Nothobranchius furzeri: one gene and its partners. The protein of the gene in region 3 interacts with the protein of the main gene of each other region in a biochemical or structural test. Links are inferred from orthologs where the notes say so. Each region holds a gene or a part of one and is shown on either strand. Other genes may lie near its edges. The genes, in order: neurabin-2, tlx1 and ppp1cc.

Region 1 (3,917 bases), on a different chromosome or scaffold from region 3:
GGTAAACAGTAGTTACGTCCCTCCTTCCATTGTTCTGAAAAGAGAAAAACTGACAAGCCTCGCAAAATGACTGAAACATTAGACTCTTATGGGGTTTTCTCACAGTAAAATTCTCACTATATTCTTACATAATGCACCTTTAACTCATTAAATCAATCAAATCAACTTTATTTATATAGCACTTTTCATACAAAAAAATGCAACTCAAAGTGCTTTACAGATTAAAATGGCCCCATAGATCCCACATTCCCATCCCAGGCCCCCTCCCCAAGTATAAAACAATTAAAAATTACAGTTCCCTCCCGCACCCAACTTCCAAAAGTGGACATACAATCACCCGCACACTCGTCCATGCACACACACACACACGCACACACACACTCGTGAACACCAGAGTAAACTGCTGGCCATTTCCTGATCAGAAAAGCCTCATGCTGCCAGCGTTTTTGAGTGTTTTTACTGTTTTTTGAAGAGTCACAGAACGTGGTGCTCTACCATGATGTCAGCGCCAAAACTACCAAAACAAAGAGTAGACTCACTTCTAACATCAGGAATAATCCTCGTGTTTTTAGCATTATTCGTTCTTTCATTCTCTTTTGTCGAATTGTGATCGGCAGAAGCTTTTCCGGTTCGCGCCTCACTTTTTTTACAGCAGCGGCCCAAAACGATCTCCTAACATGGATTTTCTGCTTCATGTGGCGTGAGACGTATGCAGATGAAGATCAGCTTTAGAGAAGTGATGTTTGTTCTCGCGGTGCGGGGGCTCGTTCCAACGCCCGCCCAGTACAAAAATGCAAGTGACGACTTTAGTCGTCAATGGCAGTTAATGAGTTAATAATGTATGACACAACACAACACCTTTTTTCTCATGAAAAGCACAGCAAAAAATAAAATTGTACATTTTTAGAATTTCTTTTTCTAGCTTTTTCACAACAGTTAAAACTTCCCTGCAGTTGGTTTTCTTTTAAGTATTATGTACTTTAAAGGGGGAAAATATTGTTTACTAGTTCATAACTGATAAACCAGTTTTCTTACGCAGATAAAGTCCAAATATGGATTCATGGTTTCCTCCCAGGGATGACATGTTCATTGCATGACCAAAATAACTGCTGGCCTGGTCTCCCTCTTTGGTTTCAGATAGCGACGGTCTGGGCATCAGCATCATTGGGATGGGTGCAGGGGCCGACATGGGCCTGGAGAAGCTGGGCATCTTTGTTAAGACCGTTACAGAAGGAGGGGCAGCTCACAGAGATGGGCGGTGAGTTCATGTTTCAGTGCTTGACCTTTGATCTGTGCAGAAACATCCCAGTGAAGCTCTGAGAAACCTATCCTGAAGCAGGAGATTTAGTTGAGGAGGCTTATTTAACTCCCAGACTCTGTTGGTTCTGCTGCAGAAATAAAAGTCTTGCGAATGCCTTTTGGCGTGTGTGGGTTGAGCTGCATGATCTGTGTTGATTGCTTCTCTTCTCCAGGATCCAGGTGAACGACCTTATTGTGGAGGTGGACGGGACGAGTTTGGTGGGAGTCACGCAGAGCTTCGCTGCCTCCGTACTCAGGAACACCTCAGGAACTGTCAAGTAAGAGTCGATTAAGACAAATTCATCCTGCTTTGACCCAGTTCTACATCAAGACAACCATCAAGTCAGTTTTTTTCATTTGGCCATGTTCTACGTTCTTACAACCGCCATTACTCAGCGCGGTTTGACATCTAGCATTCTTCTTTAAAACGATGGCTTCCTTTTGATATACATCCACCCACAGTCTGCCTTCTACCACATCCTGCCCATTCAGTTAACCAGACTTTAGATTTACGTATGCTGCAGCTCCCACAGGGTCATGATTATAACCTTCTGCATTTAGGAGCTCCTGAAAAAGGCCCAAAGAGGAGAAGCCACAGAAAAGCCTGTTATCAGCAGCAGATACAGAAGAATCAGTCGAAAAAGCCAGCAGGCTATTTGTAGATGTTGCTCTCTGGAGTTTTGGTGGCTCCAGCAGTTGCTGTGAGCTCCTTTTGCTGTCCGAGCTCATTCATAATTCAGAGTTTTGGTGTCCAGAGCTATTGGGATCATTCTTTAGTGTTGGGTGAGTTATGAAGATCGGAGACCTCTTAGCTCATACATTATGGATCTGCTGCAGCGGCGACGGAGGCCATCAGAGCTCAGAACTATTCATAAACACCAGGAAGACAAATAGCCTGGAACAGGAAGTGTGTTTGTGAGCATTTAATTACCCGTAAAAGGAAAAGCGAGAGACGGAGACGGCTTTTTAATGAAAATCTGTTGATCAGCGATGATTCAGTGAAAATTACATGGCTAGCTTTAATTTGAAAGGGATTTTTAAGCTTCGATGAGGAAGCATATCAAATCCATGATGAGCTGTAAGAGAGGCAGGATTTGGTTTTAAAGAAGTGAAGAGGATGTTAGTTCAAAAGCAAACAGGAAGCTATTTCCTCTCATTACCTTGCATTAATACCTTTAACTACACCATCTCAAGAAGCTGCTTATCATTTATGGAGAACACTGAAGTCCTGCACACTGTGCACCAAGGGCCCTGACTGGTGATCATTTAATGACAGGTTTGTGATTGGCCGAGAGAAGCCAGGCGAGCAGAGCGAAGTGGCTCAGCTCATCCAGCAGACACTGGAGCAGGAGCGCTGGCAGAGGGAGATGATGGAACAGCGCTACAACCAGTACATGGACGAACAAGAGGTCAGTCGGGGCCGTGCGCCACCTGTAGCTGCCATGTTGATTTCAGATCTGGACCGCCAAGGCTTTTCTGGCCCAGGAGCTTGTGTGCAGTCATGTCATACCTCCATGACTCCAGCAGAAGTGTGTTAAATTAGCTCAGTTAGCATCTTTCCGCAGGAATTCACAGGCTTTCTGCATTTGTTGGAAAGAGTTTTTTTAAACGCTTTTTTAAGTCTTGCATTTGCAGACATCTTATGTTGTTCATGTAGGCTGAGCCATTCCCACATGCATTTAAGTATTTAGTGTCATTTTCTGAAATTGGTGCACAATACTAATAGACCTTATCTCATGCACGCTCTCCCACTTTAGCTGGAGTCAGTGCAACATCACTGGACAGCTGCAGTGATGGGTATGAGAACACTGGCACTCCTGTTCTGAAACTGATCTGAGAATTAGAGATTGCGCTGCTGGAAACAGTGACAAAGCTGAAGGTGAAGAGCAGAAAGTGAGAGTGTGATGCTCGTTAACACACCTTCCTCTTTTACCCGTCAGACTTCCTGATTTATATAAAATCCTTTAGATTTAGTTGTTGCAGCATAAACACATTCTTACACAAAACTGAGATATAAATAAAACAAAAGTAGCTTTAAATTTAATTTTAGCCTTTACAACTGGTTTAGAAAACAAAATACTACCTTTAAAAAAGAAAATAGGGCTTTTATTTGACTTTCTCATTGTCTCCTACTTCCTGTTAGGATTAAGACTTTTATCTCACTACAGTAGCAGACAATAAAAGTGTCCAGCATGCACTGTCTGCATCATCAGACTGTAAGCTGAGCTCAGAAATGGGGCCAGATCTGGATGACTCAGATTTTGTGCTCTCGCCTTCTTTGCTCTGTCAGATGTTTTTTTCTCTACTCAAAATCCTACTGAGGTTTTCTCCTGATACCGGAGTGGAAAACGTCCCTACTCTCGCACTGTTAGAGTGGGCGGTTCTTGAAAAGATGTACATTGTTGGAATGCAAAGAAAAAATAAGAAGTGGTCGTTTGAGTTTTGCACCATCTAGTGGACATTTAGTGTAGTTGCATAGAAGAAAAACAATCATCGTTTTCTCTTCTGTGGATTTTTAGTCTAACAGTAAACAGATAAGTTCATTTGTTTTATGAACAAAATGTCTAGAGATAAGCCGATAAAATCGGTTCAGAAAACCAGCAGCGAATAAGCAAGAC
Region 2 (4,260 bases), on a different chromosome or scaffold from region 3:
GTGTTTAGAATAAAATAAACAGTAAAGTCTATAAAAATTTAATTGCTGTTGCAAAGTCATTTGCCAAAACCAGACAACATTAAATAACTATTAGTTATTTGATGTCGAGAAAGGGGTGGGATTAAATAAGCTGATGCTTCATCCTACTCCCTTTTGAACATGTGTTAAAAAAAATAAAATAAAAATAAATAAATAAAAAACCGAGAATAAGTTACTTCTGTTGTGTGTATTACTATGTGTATGTACGCATGTTCAAAAAAAAGACAAAAAGACAATCTGATTAACTCTAAATATTCTAATCTAAAATTCTGCTATGATGATGTTTATTAATATATAACAACACCAATAATAATAATAATAATAATAATAATAATAATAATAAATATCAAACATCCTGAACATTTTCTAAGGGACCTGCCCGCTGACGCAAGACAGTGGTCACGTGCTAGAGGCCAATGATATAAATGAGCTCTTGTCCGCTTTGATCCTTTCAGATTCAAATGTAATTGGTTGATTGACTGATTAATCGACTGATGACCTTAGATCTGAAAAGGGACCAAACAAAGTTTTTAACAGCTCTTTCCCTTCATGTGTGATCCATGATTGGTTCTGGTGGTAATCCAAATGGTTCCACTGAATGCTCTAGCTCCTCAGATGAGAAGCGCAACGTCAAGAAACCAAAGTCCAGTTGCCTTCAGTGGAATCCTTTGGATTAGCAGACCTGGATGACTGAGAACCTTCATCAGCATTTTGTTCTGGTGGTACTACAGAAGAACCGAATCACCTCCATTTGGTCCGTCGGTTCTGGAACCAGGTCTTGACCTGCGCATCGGTCATCTTCAGGGCTTTGGCCAGAGCGGCGCGCTCCGCGGAGGCCAGGTACTTCTGTCGGTGGAAACGCTTCTCCAGCTCACAGATCTGCAGGCGGCTGAACGACGTCCGCGGCTTCTTCTTCTTCGGCGGCGTCCGGTTCTGGTACGGATGACCTACACGGCGTGTAACAGTGAGGGGTGAGAGGGACACTGCACATCCGGGACAGAACGGGACAGAACGGGAAGAAAAGCAGCAAGGAGTCAGACAGAAAAGCAGCAGCAGCGTCACAGAAAAACAGAAAGAAGCAGCAACATAGTCTGGATCTTATTTTCATTTCAAGTAATTCATTCTTTCATTCACTCCACACAACCGGAGACCCGGAAGTAACATTTACAAAGCTCCACCTCTAAATACAGCTCCTGTTCTCTCTCTCTCTCTCTCTCTCTCTCTCTCTCTCTCTCTCTCTCTCTCTCTCTCTCTCTCTCTCTCTCTCTCTCTCTCTCTCTCTCTCTCTCTCTCTCTCTCTCTCTCTCTCTCTCTCTCTCTCACACACACACACACACACACACACACACACACACACACACACACACACACACACACACACACACACAGATAAACTGATGGTATAAAATAAATTTTGCCACATTACTCTGTTTAGATTTTTAGATCCTCCTTATAATAAAACACCAGAGAAATAAAAAGACTTTAAAGTGTTTTAACATCTGAATCTTGAGGTAAATTCAACAACATATTTTTACACATTTTACTTTAAAAATTTTACACCAGTACGATTAAAAAATAAACTCTAAAAACCAAATTCTGCCTGCAGGTTTCAAACAAAAATTTAATCTGAAGAGTTAAATTCACCACTCATTTGGTTTTCTGGAGGTATTTTTTAAACATTAAATAGTGACGCACTTCTGAGCAATTATTAGAATTCATCAATAACTAATCAGCAATAATAACAATGTTAATAACAATGATAATAATAATAATAATAATAATAATAATAATAATAATAATAATAATAATAATAATAATAATAATAATAATATAATGATTATTATTAACACACCTGCTTCAGCCTAATTCATACTGTTTCTTGCAGTGCGATAACAGAGTAATAAATAAGAAATACAATGAATAATTTAATAATTATAAGAAACTTTTAGACTGCTGAAAATTGGGAGAAATAAAATTTAAATTAATTTTACTAATTTAATTTTCAAAAGACTCTTAAGCAGAAATTTGCTTTTACATTAAAACTATATTGGGTTTTTTCAATTTATTATTACGTTTCGATAAAATTAATCATAAACGTATTCCTCTTTTATTATTGCAAGAGAAATGTATTATTTTCGTTCATTTATTTGAATTATCATTAATAATATTATTGTTCTTTTAAACAATAAACTATTTTTATTTTATTCGTTAGCTGTATATTTATTATTTATTATTTGTTTGTTACTGCAGCTAATTTAGTTGCTCGTGTGCGTGTTATTATTATTATTATTATTATTATTATTATTATTATCATTATTATTATTATTATTATTATTATTTCTGGCTCCGTACCGGTGAACCTGTCCTTGGTGTACCGGCGGTTGCTCTCCATCCACGGGAAGGTGAGCGCGCTCGGCGCCACAGACGAGCTCCCACCATTGAGCGGCCGGTGTGCGGGGACACGGATCACCCCAGCAGAGTTCACATTATTTGCGTTCATGTTCACGCTCATGTTCATGTGATAAGCCCCTCCAAGCGCGGCGACCCCACACGCGCCGCCCGTGCCATTATATCCTCCATTTCCGCAGGCGAAGCCGGCGCTCGCGCCGCCCGCTCCATAGGCCGGGTATCCGTAGTCCGGCTCTTGCATCCTAGCGCCCAGCATGCAGCTCTGCTCCACGCTGCTGAGGATCTGATCAATGCCAAAGCTGATGGGCTCCGCGTGCGTGTGCTGCTGCTGCAGGTGCGCCCCCAGGAGCCCCATGTGGTCCATGGCCGTCGTGAGCCCCCCGCTCCTGCTCGAGGAACAGAGGATGCTCCGCGCGCCGCTCCCTCGACTCTCCCGTCTGCGCTTCCTCTGCTCGACCTCCGATCGCTGTCTAGCGATTACACGCACGTGTGCGCGTCTTTCTGTGCGCACAAGCGGTAGGGTGGGGAGTCGGGTGCTGGCCTGCCCGCCCCTCCGCTGTGCGGGAACATCAATCAAAGTGCCAAATAGACAGCGCGAGATTAAAACCCGAATTCAGGCCTGTGCGTGAGAACCGGACTGTTCCACCGGGACGGTCCGGAACACCCCAGAGAGCAGCGGTACCGGAACTAGAGGAACCACAAGATTTATCTGCTCATTGACTGGCTGCGGGGAGCGCGCGCGCGCGCGCGCGCGCACACACACACACACACACACACACACACACACACACACACACACACACACACACACACACACACACACACACAAACACACACAAACGCAGAAACTTTGTCTAATTCTACTTGTTTGAAAAAACAAAATAAATCTTTATTCGCAGATCGATGATTTTCTGACGGCATTTTATTGTTTTTGTACTATCAGCTGTTTTAGCTGACTAACAAAAAAAAAGTCACGAATTAAGGATGTTCTAAAATGTTGAATCCAAATAAAAACATGAATGAATGAATTTGTTGGCAGCATCGTCTGAAGCTAAACCATAGAAGGTGTTGGTTTGATTCTGCCACATGAGTGAATGAATGAATGAAAAATGATTGTTATTAGAGGAGGATGTGAGGTGGTTAATAATTCATGTGCAGGGATGAAGCGGGTTTAATAAGTAATAACTACAATTAGATGCACTTTGCTGCGATTGGGAAACGGAAGCGGAAATGATGGATGCTTTTTTCCCATCAGCGGGTTAAAGCTCCAATAAAAACAGAATCTTTCATTAGGCGCAGATGATAAACAACCCGCAGCGCTGTTGCGCTTTTCTGCGCCTCAAACCTCCAACAATTAAATGATAAATTAAACCATGTTTCTCATTGATTTTCTCCACCGGAAGTCCACGGGGACCTAATTACTTAACGGCTACTTGGATATTAATATTTGATGTTTGGGAAAGTTCTCATTGGCTGCCCGACCAGCAACAACAATGCGTCTCGCGCACAGTTTAAATCTGAATATTATTGAGATAACATAAAAAAAACTCACCTGTTTTAATTGATTTATAAGCTAATTTAAGTTTAAACAGATGAATTGATTAGTTGTAACTTATCATTTTATCTGACGGTTAATTGGCAGGAACCTGTGACGTCACAGGCTGTGTTTCGTCTTCAAAAACTGGGCGAACGGTTTCATTTCAGAGTCTAAGAGTCCTTCTGGGTTTGGGAAAGAATCCCAGACATGAGTCAGAAACGTTCACTCATTCATCCTGCTGCTGCAGGGCTGAAGCTCACCGTTAGAAATAAATA
Region 3 (4,260 bases):
CCGCACAAACCAGCCGGCCAAGCTAGCCGCGTCGCCGGAACCACCACGTAGTGTTGGCGGGCAGCGCGGTATGGAGCCGGGCTGACCGGACACTCGAACACCGGCTCTTCTAGTGAAACAGGAACCCAAAGAAAACACCACGCTTTAGCTGTAACGGCGGGTGGTGAGCGGCCATGCTGGCGCCTGAGGTTGCTGTGGCCTCGCGCCACGCTCCGCACCGACTACGGTCTTATGACTCCTCTGACGTCAGACGTTACCAAAACAACGTTTCCTAATAAGGACAAACAACGTTCAGCCCCGTTACCCAACAGGAAGGCCTCCAGTCTGCTATAATTGAGCTCGACACACACAGGATACCATACAAAAAAGAAAAACGAATAAAATGTTTTGGACTCAAAACCATTACAACCAGTAACAAAACGACCGACCAGTAACGTGCTTTGTATCCCCGGTGATCTCCCTCTTGTGGACGTTCATGGAAACATCCTTTTAGATTAAGGTTTCAGGGCTGTTTGATGTTGAGGGGAAAAAAAGTTGCAGAAAGAGACATCCAGACACCAGCTCCCCCCAAAAATACACTTAAAGTTTATTAGAAAGGTTTAGACATTACAAGAGTTCTTGTTTATTCATTTAATTGAGCACAAGACTCGTTTAAAAATGTGATAAGTGTGTAGTCAATTCTCTAGAACACTGAGAAAATTAAATGTCAATAAAGTTCGCTGAAGAAAACCGACGTCCGACTTTCTTCATACTTTTATATCCGTTAACAATTACAAACTGTGAGGGAGAATAAACAAAGGAATGACACACGAAACAAATTGAAAAGTTGTGCACAGCTTCAAACAAGGCATTCCTGTGCATAAGTAGCTGTATTTATTATGCTTTTCCTGATTGAACAGTCATGTGTGGTAAAGACTAGCTGCAAAATGGAGTGCAAAACACCTGAGGATTTTCATGGTGACATATTGATTTTGCCCCTGTGGAAAAAAAAAACAATAAATATTTTGCTTTCATCTAGTAGGAGTGGACACTTTTTCAATATTGGCAGCGTGTAGAATAACCAATTCCTCAAATGCAGAAGACAAAAGCAGACCCTGGCAACTAGTCCTCCACTCAGCCCCTCACTTCTTAGCCTGCTTGGTGACCATGTTGCGGGGGGGAGTCACAGGACGGCTGCCGTTGGGTTTCTTCTTCTCAGCTGGTTTCAAAATCTGAACAGAAAAAGTCAAACCTGTTATGTTCAGGTATAACCCAGGAACTGAGTAATGTTGTTAAACGTGTCTCTTATCAGACTTTTTTCAAGCATTTGTGTAAAGGTAGACCTGCCACTAAATAATATTCCAGTCTTTAGCTTCAAGAATATATTTAGCTTCAATTTTAATGAGTTCAAACCAAATGTGATGTGACTGAATTACCATACGGCGTTTCTCCTGTAGGCTCCTCCTGTAAGCCAGAGAGCCAAATGAGAACAAACCTCCTATACTTACAAACACAGACACACTACCTGAAAGGAGCACATGAGTGTCTCATCCACGCTCATCATGGCACCGGCGTTGTCAAACTCCCCACAGTAGTTTGGTGCTGAGAACAAAGTGACGAGCTGCCTCTTTGCAAAAAACTCGTAGCCGTCTTCAACAACCTGCCACGATAAAACAAAAAATGACGATGTCACTCCTCAAAGAGCCTCAGCTTAAACATTACAAAGCTTTATGATATTTCTCATGGTTTAAAGAGTTCTTCCTAGAAAACCAATTCAGGCCAGACAACATTAATGGGCTTGTACTTTATGCAGACCTGCCAACCGTGTCAAAATTTTTGAGTACCACTTGTGCGGCGGTTTTTTTGCAGACTTTTGCAACTCCGCTGCTTTTCACGCTGTAATCTCCCCATTCACTGGATGAAAACTTTTACACACACACACACACACACACACACACACACACACACACACACACACACACACACACACACACACACACACACACACACACACACACACGCGCGCACAATTATGTTTATGTATTTAGCAGACGCTTTTGTCCAAAGCGACTTACAAGTGATAATCGGCATGTTGCCCTTGAGGCTAACAACAACAACAACAACAACTTGACATCAGTCATGGAGAGGAGGGAACAAGGAGTGGACAGTAGAGAGGGGGGGCGGGTGCAGGGAGGGTGTTAGTTTAGAAGATGCTCTCTGAAGAGCAGGGTCTTCAGGAGTTTCTTGAAAATTGAAAAGGAAGCCCCTGTTCTGGTAGTGCTTGGAAGGTCATTCCACATTTGTGGAACGATGCATGAGAAGAGTCTGGATTGTCCTGAGCGTGGTGTAGGCACTGCTAGCCGACGATCCTGTGATGACCGGAGCGGCCGGGCCGAGACGTAAGCCTTTGCAAGAGGATTCAGGTAGATGGGAGCCGTACCGTCTCGGACTTTGTATGCTAGTGTTAGCAGTTGTTGTTCATAGTTCTTATTTTGACGAGTAAGGTTATAGACATTTTTACAGTCTGACCTGACTCCAAAGTGTCATGTATTTTAATATTAAACAGTAAAACTCTAAAGTTTCCTTATATAATATTTGTGCTTATACAAGTTACTTGCATTAAATTATTTCAATACAAATCAATTAAAAAAACAATTATATTAATGGTAATTATTTATTTTGTTAATTGCAATATTAAATTGGCTTAAAGCACATATGCACACATCACCAGGGCTAATTTACTAATTACCTGCAGCTCCCTGGTGGCTCATGTCCACATCATAACTGCAGATTGTGCTAAATGCACGGTGAGGTGTTGATATTTGGACAAAAACTTCTGAGACACTTGGACCCTCTTCTTTTTGGCAGGTCTGCTAACCAACCCCTCCCTGCCTGCTTTTCCCTCATCTGCCATAGCATGAGTTGCAAAACGAGCTGTGAAAAATAATAATGGCTGCAAGTTTAAACTGTATAAATAATCACATTCCTCCTTATAATACAGGCTAAATCTATCTTCATGGATAAAGGCAAAAACACACACACACACACACACACACACACACACACACACACACACACACACACACACACACACACACACACACACACACACACACACACACCTGCTGCTTTCTCTTTAGTCGCACATTTTTAGTTTTTTTTCACTCGGATGTTGGCTTGAATATTCAACAGTGAAAGTAACGTTACGCGTTCGCATTCACCAAAAGACAGCCAGTCCGGCCCGCTGACACACACACACACACGCAGGCCCACACACACAAACACAGTTTACCTTACCAGAGCTGCAGCGAGTGGCGAACCGGAGGGAGAGAGGAGCAGCGGTCAGTACGAAGCAGGGCGGGGCTGTTACGCTATTGGTTAGGCAGGATAGCTTTTCTCTGCTGTTCTACGATGATTGGCTTAAACTTCCCCACGCCGCTGAGTCGTGTTGTCAGACATGAGTACCACACGCGTATGTTTGCCACAGAACTCAACTCACGTATCGTTAGCTTTTTGCGTAGTTTAGAGGGGTGAGTCGTACCAGCGTAGATAGATGCCAAATTGGCTACGCAAAATGCGTACAGGTTGGGCAGGTCTGCTTTATGTGATGTGGCTTGAGTATTCAAATACTAATATTACAAACGATAAACTTCTGAAACGGTTCTTGATTTTAGATGCTGAAGAAGAAAATAAGTCTTATTTTCACATAAAACCCTCCTGTCTTTTAACTGAGTCCACGCTCTGAATGATCTGAAACAAGAAAAAAGACCAAATACTAAAAAAAAACCCACAGAAATATTAAAACTCTCCACCATTTAGCATCTGGCTGACAGAGAGGCATGCATGTAGGTGCAGGCTTCAGCCATATGACTGATCTAAACACAACACTACTATGTGTGTTCTTACATAAACACATTAATCAGCGGATGAGTTGAACAGGATCTGTTTCAGTCTGCAGCTAACATCCTGTTTTATGCTTCTCTGTTTACATTATCAGGACCTTCATGGAGGAGTGAATGAGAGCTAGCTTCTATTCCCTCCATTTGAGAGGAACAATCCTCCTTTCCCACCGGGATCATAATGTAAGAAGAGCACCTGGCCTCCTCTTTAGTCTACAGTTTGCCAGCACAGGACGCGATGTCCATGCACCACCGTGTGAGCACAGTTACCTGATGAGCACGGCAGATCAGATCGAGGTCATGCTTGTGCAGAAACTTGGCAACCACCTCTGAGCCGAAGGTGAACGAGACCCCCCTGTCATTCTCGCCCCAGCCCAAAACA

Evidence for each region.
Region 1: the proteins of ppp1cc (region 3) and neurabin-2 form a complex in vitro, tested with the Homo sapiens proteins (2 studies listed by BioGRID). The link is inferred for Nothobranchius furzeri from reciprocal best matches to the Homo sapiens genes PPP1CC and PPP1R9B.
Region 2: the proteins of ppp1cc (region 3) and tlx1 form a complex in vitro, tested with the Homo sapiens proteins (2 studies listed by BioGRID). The link is inferred for Nothobranchius furzeri from reciprocal best matches to the Homo sapiens genes PPP1CC and TLX1.

The regions. Positions count from the first base shown.
Region 1 is NC_091756.1:47,290,755-47,294,671, reverse strand, and holds part of neurabin-2, read left to right. Parts: intron 1-1,137; coding exon 1,138-1,258; intron 1,259-1,472; coding exon 1,473-1,577; intron 1,578-2,575; coding exon 2,576-2,708; intron 2,709-3,917. UniProt on the Homo sapiens protein: Seems to act as a scaffold protein in multiple signaling pathways. Modulates excitatory synaptic transmission and dendritic spine morphology. Binds to actin filaments (F-actin) and shows cross-linking activity. Binds along the sides of the F-actin.
Region 2 is NC_091752.1:8,276,914-8,281,173, forward strand, and holds the start of tlx1 (T-cell leukemia homeobox protein 1), read right to left. Parts: upstream 3,104-4,260; 5' UTR 2,813-3,103; coding exon 2,392-2,812; intron 1,023-2,391; coding exon 785-1,022; intron 1-784. UniProt on the Homo sapiens protein: Controls the genesis of the spleen. Binds to the DNA sequence 5'-GGCGGTAAGTGG-3'.
Region 3 is NC_091757.1:28,388,242-28,392,501, forward strand, and holds the end of ppp1cc (serine/threonine-protein phosphatase PP1-gamma catalytic subunit A), read right to left. Parts: coding exon 4,149-4,260; intron 1,640-4,148; coding exon 1,505-1,639; intron 1,212-1,504; coding exon 1,122-1,211; 3' UTR 563-1,121; downstream 1-562. UniProt on the Homo sapiens protein: Protein phosphatase that associates with over 200 regulatory proteins to form highly specific holoenzymes which dephosphorylate hundreds of biological targets.